2 linked regions of the Arabidopsis thaliana genome follow. The protein of the gene in region 2 interacts with the protein of the main gene of each other region in a pairwise test. Each region holds a gene or a part of one and is shown on either strand. Other genes may lie near its edges.

What was found.
Region 1: the proteins of UGT72E1 (region 2) and AT1G73660 interact in a two-hybrid assay, tested with the Arabidopsis thaliana proteins (one study listed by BioGRID).

What each region holds. Positions count from the first base shown.
Region 1 is NC_003070.9:27,691,351-27,698,927, forward strand, and holds AT1G73660 (protein tyrosine kinase family protein), read right to left. Parts: upstream 6,023-7,577; 5' UTR 5,369-6,022; coding exon 4,808-5,368; intron 4,715-4,807; coding exon 4,274-4,714; intron 4,192-4,273; coding exon 4,088-4,191; intron 3,950-4,087; coding exon 2,787-3,949; intron 2,704-2,786; coding exon 2,663-2,703; intron 2,551-2,662; coding exon 2,482-2,550; intron 2,389-2,481; coding exon 2,288-2,388; intron 2,024-2,287; coding exon 1,945-2,023; intron 1,853-1,944; coding exon 1,754-1,852; intron 1,645-1,753; coding exon 1,576-1,644; intron 1,477-1,575; coding exon 1,427-1,476; intron 1,334-1,426; coding exon 1,157-1,333; intron 1,036-1,156; coding exon 897-1,035; 3' UTR 543-896; downstream 1-542. Other genes in the region: AT1G73655 (FKBP-like peptidyl-prolyl cis-trans isomerase family protein), read right to left, coding at 133-431. UniProt on the Arabidopsis thaliana protein: Acts as a negative regulator of salt tolerance. Mediates sugar response during early seedling development.
Region 2 is NC_003074.8:18,854,519-18,858,773, forward strand, and holds UGT72E1 (UDP-glucosyl transferase 72E1), read right to left. Parts: upstream 2,523-4,255; 5' UTR 2,294-2,522; coding exon 830-2,293; 3' UTR 525-829; downstream 1-524. UniProt on the Arabidopsis thaliana protein: UDP-glycosyltransferase that glucosylates coniferyl aldehyde to form coniferyl aldehyde 4-O-glucoside. Glucosylates sinapyl aldehyde to form sinapyl aldehyde 4-O-glucoside. Is not active in presence of coniferyl alcohol or sinapyl alcohol.

The DNA of each region.
Region 1 (7,577 bases), on a different chromosome or scaffold from region 2:
CAAGAACAAATAAACTATGAGCTCAAGTCTTTGATTGTATTATCAAATCCCTAATTGCTAACATTCACTTAAATTTTCCATCTTTAGTTCTTAACAAGAGAATAATTCGAAGTCTTGATGAGTAAGAGTAACCTTGTGTTATCCTCTTCCTGAAACACATCGAGTCGTGACTTCTTCATCTGCTCGGAGACAACACCGAAAGCTAAAAACCCAGCCCAGGTAAACCCGGCGCCGATTCCGAACCGTCGCGTCACCGGAGAAGTAATCCAATCCGTCAATTGCTGCTCCTGCAATGTGACCACCGCCGTTGGTTGTGGATTCTCCGTGAATGTGACGCTTAGCGACTGCGATAGAAGACTCTGTTTCGGATGTTGGGATGGAGAGACGAAACGGTGGTGAGAAGGAACCGTCGCAGTGAAGAGAGTCGCCATTGTCAAAGATTTTTCGTAAAAGCAAAGTTTTTTAAAATATTATATTATTTTGATTCATATATCCCAATAATAAAGATCAGCCTTATCTTGTTCGTGTGATGAATAAAGACAGAGCTCAATGATTTTTTTTAATATATGTTTTCGGTCAACGTTTCGACGAGTTTGTCAATTGTTTTTTCTTTCTCTCTTTGTACAGTTTCAATATTGGAAAACAAAATAGAGGAAATTACGCATGAACATGAACATCGCTTGCAAGCAAAGACAACAAAACACACGAGCACAATCCTTCACCTTCTTCAATCGTCATCTTCCATGAATCTTTCTTTTTCACAATTCACAAGCTGTGTCAAACACTGAAGCTGAGGCAAAAAGTAGCAGAGAAGGAACATTTGTAGCTTTTTTTTCCTTCAAACAGATTGAATTCGTCAAAAATGTGTTTGCCACTTTGGTCGTCTTCTTCTGTTATCAATCCTTTTGTTCATGTTCAGTTGGTAATGAAGAGGAACTGGGGACTGGTCTTGGGATGTTGGAACCTGTTACAGGTTTCTGTAGCCGCTTTAGAGACGCCATTATCTCTGCAAAACTTGGCCTTAACTTTGAATCCCTGATAAACACACACAAAGCCATTACATGTGTTAACTGAGACATGGTCAAGTGAAATGATGTTGTTTAAGCACTGCTACTTCATATTGTGGCTGAAACATTGAAAAATAATCTATACTCACGTCTGCCAGCATTTACTGATGAGATCTGCAATTGCTGGATCTACAAAGTCGGGAATGTCAAGACGTCGATGCTGAAACCCAACTGCCCCAACTACTTGCATCGGGTTCATCTTTCCCCACGGTTGTTGTAACGTAAAGAGTTCCCATAAGATCACACCGTAGCTGTAAACATCGCACCTGTTTCACGTATTGTTTTTTCCTGACATTAGGCCTGCTTCTGACAAAAGGGAACAAAATGAATATCTAGTAGCAAAAGATCTAAGAGCATACTTCTCATCAGCAGGTTCGTTTCTTAGCACTTCTGGAGCCATCCATTCAGCCTTTATAAGACCAACACATAATTAGATTAACGAACTGGCAATTACAATAACTGTAAAAAGAGATGATTAAGACAGGGGAGACTATAACTTGCTTCTTACCGTCCCTGCTGTTGACTTTGAAGAGAGGTATGTACTGTGTTTCATCCTAGACAATCCAAAATCACACACCTGATATATATGAAAATCCAGTATTTGTTATGTAAACTTATAGCTGTTACATACGATATAACATTATCCACTTGGTAAGAAACAATAAATTTTATGGAGAGAATCTGACCTTCACGACCCAGTTTTTGTCAACTAGAAGGTTTGGGGACTTAAGATCGCGATGGACAATCATCGGATTACAGCTGTGCAAATAGTTCATTCCACGAGCCTGAATACAAGTAATATGTTACCTCAACACTCTACTGAAAGAATCAAGAAGTTACAAACAGGTGATATAGTAAGAGAAGAAAAGACTAATACAGCATCAAGGGCCATTCTCAGGCGCCTCCTCTCGTCTAATTGGTTATTTGGCCGGTGGATTAACCTATACAAGCTACCTCTGCACAAGTTTGGAAAAAAATATTATAATGTAAAGATCCAAAAACGAAGCACAACCGGATTGAACCTGTTCAAACCATCCAGATTTTAGAACTTAAAGCAAATACTTGAACAACACTCATTGATGCAAAGAAGATTTTGGCATTTAGAGGTCACAAAATAGATAAAAACAGAGGCATGCGCATCATGAATAAGGAGATGGAAATCGTTGTAGCCATGAGAATCATATCAAAGTAACTGAATCTTGCAAAGATCATAGTATTACCTAGGAAGAAACTCTGTAACAATTGAAAGATTCGGTGGGCGAGTCACAGCTCCCATGAAGAGAACAATGTTGGGATGTCTTAGCTTTTTCATGATTCGGACCTTGTATCACAAGAATATATAAGAAGGGTTTGATATAGAACTAATCAACATGGAAAATCAGGTAAAAGAAAAGATTAGAAGAAAGGCTCGTACCTCACTTCTGAATTCCTCCAATGCTTCTCCTGTTAAATCTTGATCAAGGAACTTCTTGACAGCCACTTCCTAAAGTTCAAGAGTTTCGACGATATGGAACTCAAACTAAGGAATTTCTAAACTCTTTTTTCATCGAGTTCAAATTCACAGTATAAATTGGAAAAGCAAATATAATACTCACAGTCCCGTGCCAATCTCCCCGATACACTTCTCCATAAGATCCTGTATCAAAAGAAGTAAAGTAGTTAATTATTTGAAGATGTAGTTACACCAAAGCAGATAACAGATGATGATAAGTCAGGTACCAAGTCCAATACGTTCTCCCACAGTAATTTCTTCCCACAAAATCTCACAGTCAGATACATCATCACAGTCTGACTTAGAACTTTCATTGCCAATAGATTTGTCAGATATTCTTTCCCCTCCTGAATTTGGCCCATGATTAGAGTCCCCACTACCTTGAGGCTCATGCCCACCAGAACCATCATCCCCGTCGCTATTCGAGCCTAATTCAAGTTGCCTGGACACGGCTGCAGCTGTTGCCACAACTGCAGCAGCAGTGGCCGTGGCAGCAGCTGCAGCAGGAAGTTCTATGGGGGAGGAGTCTGAGTTTGCAGACTTGGCAGCAGCAGCAGCAACCATGGAAGATGCAACAACAGCAGCTGCAGCTACAGCAGCAGGGACGGTTCTGGCATATTCTGTCGAAGATGCTTCAGAATGTGAAGAATCAGACTGACTTACAACTTTGCCATTATCACGTTGATCATGTGCATTTGTTTTAGATTGCACTCTTGGTAATGGAGGCAAAAACCTCACTGGACCAAAACCGTTTTGGTGTCTTCCTTCCTGAGTTGTCTCTAAATCTTTTCCTCTCTCTTTCTTGGCTTCAGTCGAGTTTTTGCTTTCAACAGTTGCCTCCAATTGCTGGGGATAGACTTCGGAAAATAAATTGGGAGGAGCTACAACTCCGCTTTCAAGTAATACATCATGAAGCTTCTGAGCTAACCGTGGATTCTCTTTAGCAGCATCAATCATATATTGTGAAACATCTTTGACTTTCATCCTTTGTGCAGCTGGGGAGCTAACCCCTTCAGTCCAAGAAGGTGATCTCATATGGGTGAAAGAATGAATAGGCCTGCTAGACAGATTTTGAAATGGAGCCTTTTCAACTTTCTTCTGATTTTTCACATCTTCTCTAGAAATATTTGGATGAACAATGAGATCGCCTCCACCTCCGGATTGGTTTCTCTCCCCAGAACTCTTGGTACTAGAACGATGTTCCCCTGTTCGAAACTCTGTATTCTCTTCATATGAGCTTTCAATACCATTGCTGGAAGAAGCTACATGAATTGAATCATTGTCTCCAGGACTAGCGGAATAGGCAGATTCATCATAGTCTATTTGTAGTCCAGCTGCATCAGCTGGAATAAGCGTGCCGGGATCTCCCATAAGATCAACAATGTACTCCCTGAAATTCACAATTGAATAGCATATAACAAAGTTTCTTTCTTTAAGCCTCAATATTAGCTTCAGGAGGTGCAGATTAGATAACAATATACATGAATGATAGACAAATATTGAATCTACACATTAATGTGATGATTACCTGCCATCATCAGCCTTAATAAAGTTCATTGCCACATCTTCAGAACCGGTATATTGCTGACCTTTGACTATTCGACAAGGAACACCAACACTATCACACAATACCTACAAAGTTTCATATAAAGAAAGAACCATAAGAAATGAAATAAACTTAAAAGTGCTGAGATTCAGAAGAAAAAGTGCATACTTTGAATAACAAGGCTCGGTGACGAGCCAAACCAATAGTCAGAGAACCAAGTGGCAAAACCATGCTTCCAAGAGTTGCTTTCAAACTATAGCTAAGACTCCTCCAAGCTCTCAACATGCTCTCTGGGTGCACGACTGGTCCACCCATGTAATCTCCCACTAAAATAGCCAGTTTCCTTACCAATTCACTATTCACAAAACCAGAGGAAGAAACTGATCTTGATTTAGCAGCAATATCAAGAGCCATCTGTTCAAGTCTCAACAGATTAGAATCCCCACTTCTGTTCACAAGAACAGCTTCCCATGTCACACCGTCTGAAACAGGTGTCCCTTGAAGATCGAGCAAAGGAGGTATTCTTTCTGCTGAGGATGCATTCAACACTCCATACAAGTCATAAAAACCATCCAAGATCTTGTCATCATAGCCAAGACAATTGTAATTCTGTGAATGCAACAATACCAAAATGAAATGAGTTCTTGGGAGTAACTAAAGAGTTTCTGTTATGCAGAGAAAACAATTGAATCAAAAGCTTACCCAGTAGCGATAAGCGATGAGTTCAGCTGGAGAGTTCTCAGGAGCACAAGAGCCTAAACTGAATTGCTTAATAGCCTCAATCTGAGTAGCCTCAGGATCTTCTCTAGCACTTAACTCTAAAGCCAACTGTATCTGATTCTCTTCTTCAACAGCTGGATCTTTGGAACCTAAATCCACATGTTCTGACCCATTAACAACAACAGTGTCATCAACCGTGGCGGCTCTGTTCTTGGCATTGAAAGAATTAGGAGGACTAGGGATTTTTCTATGACCAACAGAACTTAACCAATTAGATAAACCAGAAAAAGGTTTGATTTCAGGGCTATTGCTGTGATGAGACCTCGGTGATGATGATGATGATACATCGATAGACTTATGATGATTGCTCTTAGTTGTTGAAATTGATCCTTCAGCTTCATCTGATTGATTGGGCGAGATATGAAGTTTCTTAAGAAAGTTCTTCATGTTCATCTTCATACTCCAAATGCTAGAACAATGATCAACAGGTCTTAAAACCACTCCATCTCCCAAATTCTTCAAAGTTTCTTCTTTTACTTTCATAAACCCTAATTCCTCCCCGGAATTTAAATCAAAAGTTTGAAACTTTCACCGGAATTCACGAAGACCAATCAAAAAGAACAAAGATTTCAACTTTATTGGACTTCAAAAGGCAAAAACTTGAGACAGCAAAATTTGTAGAGAGCTTGAGCTCAAAACACACAGAATTTTTTTTTTTTTTTTGATAAATCACCAAAATGGTTAAAAGCACACACCCACTCAAATGCAGAATTTAAAGAAAAAAAGCATATGACTGACAATTTTCTCCGTACTGATATGAACCGCTAATTCTCCTCCTTCAACCAACTTGAATATGTATCTCTCTATCTATCTCTGACGCCACTTTCTCTGTCTAAAAAGTTGGACAAAGAAAGAAGTGGAGAGAGTGGCTCTTCTCTAGAAGAAAATTAAAGTTTGCATTTTTGATAATTGAGGAGGAGAGTTACTTACTGTGACATGCAAAACAAAACAGAACAAGAAAAAAGGCGTATCTTTTTCACTAAGCTTAGTGCGTGAACTTGAAAAGATGATGACGAAACATAATTAAATTGCACCAAGACAGACTTAACGTCAATTGAGGCATTTAAAACGGTTACTTTTTGTTTCTATAAACAGCATAGAATCTACATCAATTTATTCATTACTATGTCAAAAAAGAAAATTCTGAGAAAACTGTGAGATACATTTTTTGTCCTTAATTCACTAATATATAAATAAAAATACTTACGGGAATGTTTTCTTTAAAATTTTGCATTAGAACAATAAAAAAACTATCCAAAGTGGTTTAAAGCAATTTCTTTGATTCATTTTAAACGCTAGCAACCGCAAACTCAACATTTGCATATGGTAGTAGGAGAACCAATCAAGTTCTAAATCAATTTTCATTTTTCGATCAAATATATCAAAAGTCTTTTTGGTCATATAATTAAAACTGTATTTTTATTTTTTTTAATAAATAGTATAGCGTTTCGATCTTTTATACTTGTATCTCTTTTGGGAATAAAAGAAGAATAGCAATTGTCACGGCAATTAAGGACCATTAACTTTTTATATTTTGAGAATGACTAGAAATAGCTTAAGGTGTCAATTCTAAAGAAAAGACAAATGAGAATTTAACTGAATATTCACTTGAAAAGCACGTGGTTAATTGTATATTGCAGTGTCCGGTGAATCTTACTAAGATAGAGCTCAATTAATTAACGAGTTAGATAATTAGTACTCCGTTATCTTGCTTTTGATGAAACTCTATTTTCGTGAAGAGACACCGTTATCTCTTCGATCATTCAACATATCTATCACTATATACATATGTAATTAATTAGTTTATATAGTGGTTACGACTTACAACTTACAATAGAGATAGCTATGTATGTCATATATGCACAAAATATATGAGTTTATTATAGTATATGATTAATGTCAAAATATGGACAACCACACGTATGCATGTATGATTTATGTAATAGGTAATCATTGTATCTTCTTTGAACTTATTAAATGGTGTGAGCTATGAGCCAATAGTTGACCAACACGAATATTTATGATTTTTCCAGTGATCAACTCTATAGTGTCCACACGATTGTGAGGTTCAGAAACCATCAGGTAATTTTTTTTTAATGTATCATTAATTAAGGTAACTCTTTATGTGTCTTGGAAATTGTTTTCCACCATAGAAGATGATTATTTGTTGAAATAATTTATACGTAATTTTTTTTAAAAATTAAACTTTACATTTTAATTTTTATATACTGGAATGATAAATACGGTAAAAAACAAAAATATACTATTACCGTGGTTTTCATATTCATCCCCCCCCCCATTCGACTTAAATATGTTATCTACTTTTCCAACTATGACACTTCTCAAAAATCTATTTTATAGTATAAAGGATCTGTATTCCATAAAATAAAACAAGAAAAAAGGAAAACGATTGGAGGTTTTAAGTGCTCAAGGGTAGTTGGCTAACAATTCAATTTTGGGCGGCTTGAGATTTGTCCGAAAACATAAGAAAAGATTTTTGATTTGGAATAAATCTTATAGTAACATTAAAACATACAAAAAAAAAAAAAAAAGTAAATGGGGCTTGAGTTTTGTCCGAAAACATAAGAAAATATTTTTGATTTGGTATAAATCTTAGTAACATTTAAACAAACAAAAAAAGAAGAAGTGAATGGAGAGTTTCTATTTACTACACGTTATGTTTGGTTTAAGC
Region 2 (4,255 bases):
AGACTAGTGTTTTACAATATACAAAAGCTGTGAAAATATGTTTTACAATTTAAGGCTGGTCCTGTTCCTTATTTCCTTTGTTACGTTTTAAATTCTTATAATTTTTACGAAGATTGTAACGAGTTTTTTTTTTTTTTTTTTTTGTAATGTTTCAACAGAAAAACGACGGTTTACAACAGTTAGAGTTTGACCCCCCCAAAAAAAGGACGGTTTACACATATATAGAAATACTCTGAAAAAATGAGAAGAACTGGAATAACAAATAGTGGAAAAAGAATTGAAAAAAAAAATGATTGAATTAAAAAGTTATAGTCGAAGATCACTTTAGCTGCGTGTTCCAAACCAAGTCAATAAGAGAGAATCATATATACAATTTGAATTTCCTAAGGAGATTAGTAATGATTAGCTAATTAAAAAAATCTTCATATATAACTAATGCAATTTTTTTGGTGAGAATATAACTAATGCGATTATCATCATCATAATGATTTTGTATATCATCAGATTCCTATACTCATGAATCATGATTTTAATTCACCGTTTCATATTGACGTCAAGTATTAAATATTAATCATATACAACCATATTTGTTACCGTTAAATAACCGAAGACTTAGCAATTAAAAAAGGAGCTACTTATTATACAAATTAAACACTAATTATTTATTTTACATTGTAAAATACATTACTGATAGGGACTAGCATTGACCAAAACAAAACCACGTGATACCATGTGGCAACCAAGACTCGGAAACTATATAATACAAGATACCCAAAAGGGTAAAACGACACGCAGTTTATAAGTAACATACTATAAACGGTAAGCGTTCCTAGGCACCACGTGCCATGCACCTGACACGCTCCAAAAGATGCTCGCTCTCGTCGGCGATTCTTGACAACGATTCATGCGCCACTCCACCGTCGCAACTCAGCGATTCGGCAGCGGTCTCTTTCAGCTTCTTTATCTTCTTTCTCATCTCAGCACCTTCCTCCTCCACCATGATCTTTCTCACCAACGCCTCGATCTCCGCCCTCGTAATCACTCCCTCCGACGGTAGTTTCTTAGAGCGGACGGCAACGCCAAGCTCTTCGTTGAGGAGTGTCGCGTTCATCATCTGCTCCGCAAAAAGTGGCCACGCGATCATCGGAACGCCACCAACGACGCTCTCGAGAATCGAATTCCAACCGCAGTGAGTTAGAAACCCACCTACGGCTTGGTGGGCCAAGATCTCCGCTTGGGGAGCCCAAGAAGAGACCATAAAGCCTCTCTCATGAGTCCGGCTAACAAAACCTTCCGGGAGATAATCAGGTGTACCGTCTCGTATTTTACCACTGTTAGCGGATAAATATGCACTGCAAGCTGAACCGTCCACCGGGGGTCGAACCACCCAAACGAACCGTTGCTGACTCATCTCAAGTCCCCAAGCCAATTCGGTTAGTTGTTTAGCCGAGAGAGAGCCACCGCTTCCAAATGAAATGTAAAGTACCGACTCGTCCGGCTGTTTGTTTAACCAATCCAAAACCGGATGATTAGTTTTAGATGGATCAACCGGTCTAGACAAAGGACCAATTGGATAAACCGGTACACCAGCAATTCGACCCAAGAGCTTTGGGTCTTGAAGAGATTTCAAAGTTTTGGGCTCCATATCATCCCATGTATTCACAATAATACCATCACACGTTGGGAAAACCGAACCGAAAGGAACAAATTCCCGGTAGAGTTGGCTGTTTGGGTCAAGGAATGTTTCAAGTGTATCTTCAAACCGAACCGGTTCACATCCAGGCATAACCATAGGTTGCTTCTTGATTATGTGCTCTTCTTCCATGTCTTTGTCCAACGTTGGGAAAAACAAAGCCACCGCGAGAAAACGTGCGTTTGAAGCGATGAAGATATAAGTCAACATGTTGAACTCACCACCGAGCGGTATCGCGTCCAAACCAAACAAGTCTACGATCAGAGCCGTTGGTTTGTGTTGCATCTCCTCTATCTTTGACCGGATGGTAGGAATGGTCTCACGCATCATGACCAAGAGCTTGATCCCAAAAAAGGCTGATGGGTCGACTAAACCGGAGATATCGGGCGTTGGGAGGCCAACGATATCAACAAGGGCCGCGTCGCAGCCTGGTGAGTTAAGGAATTGAGATTGAGCTGAGGCTGCGTCGGTTTCAAGGACGAAAATGGTGACATCGAAGCCGTGGGAACCAGCTAAGCGTTTTCCGAGCTCGATCACCGGGATGATGTGGCCCATTCCGGGGCTAGCGAACATGGCCACATGTGGTTTTGTAATCTTCATAGCCTAGATCACTGAACGTTGGCCTTTTTTTTTTTTTTTTTTGTTGTTGTTGTTGTTGTTATTGTGTCGGTTTACTCTCTCATAGTTGCAAGTGAGTTGAATATATAGAACCAAAAGACTTTATAACTCATTTGTAAGTATCTTTAAAGTCTTATCTATATATCACTTTCATTTTTTTTGTTTTATTTTTGATATCATATACCAGCTTTAATCGTTTTACAAGAAAAGTAAATATAAACATGGAAGTGTAAATGTATCTAAGTTAATTGCATCCATATCGTGTATTTATTTATATAGAAAAGAATTGACCACATAAGTTGTCGCGTGAATGATAAAAATGTTGAATGCGTCGACCAGAAGATAATAATGGTAAGCTTCCGACTTGTATATGTATATATGTGAATTACTAGCTCATAGGCCATAATGCATCATATATAGTATGTCATGTCATGTATACATAAAGATTCTTAGATGAGTTTCTTGTACTTATTAAACTGACAAACACATCGCTAAACAAATTCGAAACAGGCCATCATCGATACGAGTTATGAGATAAAAATGTTAGATAAATACTGAAGTACTGTACAAGAAGCTAAATCTTTGTATTATTATCTTTTTAAAAAAAAAATATGCACTTGATGTAAAAACGTTGGTTTTTGGGGTTGAATAAATTGTATATTCAGTTCAGAAAAAGAAAAAAAAAAAGAGAAAGAGAGTTTTCTACATGCTTGATCACATTCTCAAATAAACGTCTCTTTATGAATTTCATAAATGATGTAATAGTTATATCTTTATTAAGTATAGAATTCAAAAAAAAAAGGTTGAGTTTTATAAATTTCGTGAATTATGTCAGCAAAATGTATTACTATATACTTAGATGCTTGAACCATGCCACTGCTGTAACGTTGAAATTTGCTAAAATGATGTTGCAATTTGCTCAAACATTTAATGTTATTTGACTTATCGCAGTCTAGGTCCTCGTCATCTTGATATTTTCCCTCATTTTAAAATAATAAGTCATCTCTAGTTTTGAATTAGTTTTCGGGATAAATAGTATTTTCTCTATTTTTTAATATTTATGTTTTTTTAGAGAAAACATACATACTAAAAAAATATATATCAAAAACTGATTATTAATATATTATTTTTTGTAATTTATATTTTTTATTAATTCTAAACCAATAATATTAAATTATTTATTTTGAAGGTTGATATTCATCATTAATAACCAATTAATATTGCATACAAAATTTAAAAAATTAATTTTCTTAAAACAATTTTTTTCTAAATAATAAAATAATAAGAAATAGAGAGAGTATATATCTCATTCATGTTTTCATTTTTGAAAAACGTGATTGCGATTCATTCAGCTTTTACGGTTTAGTGTTTTGAAAACGTAATAACTAGACAAAACAAATTAAAACTAACTTTACAACGTTTTATAATTTATTCTACAAAATCTATATCTAATTCAGTTTGTTCCTCTAACAATTATTCAATTATTTCCTACCAAAAAATCTTCATTCTAGATATATTTCTATTAAAGAACAAAACACTGAGTTTACCCCAATTGAATCTTTACATCTAAGATTGCTAGTTTGCTACACAGCATAATTTGATTAAACTCGAATGAAAAAAATATCTCCTATTTATTCTTTGAAGTGTACAATTAGTTAAAAACTTAAAATAGTTGACATATCGCAACCACATTAATGCTCAAGTTCTTTTTTTTCTTTTTTCTTAACATGCATGACATCGTTTTGTAAGATGCTATGAGATTTGAGTTTAGAAACAATAAAATTACATAAAAATATGTCGTAGAAAATTGTATTGCAGAATATTATTAGCTAGTGTATATTGTTTCTTAATGCAAATCTCATATCATCCTTACAAAAAGATGAGACTATGCCCATCCGAGTACAACATGCTTGCGAAATTAAAGAAGTTATCACCACTTTCCCT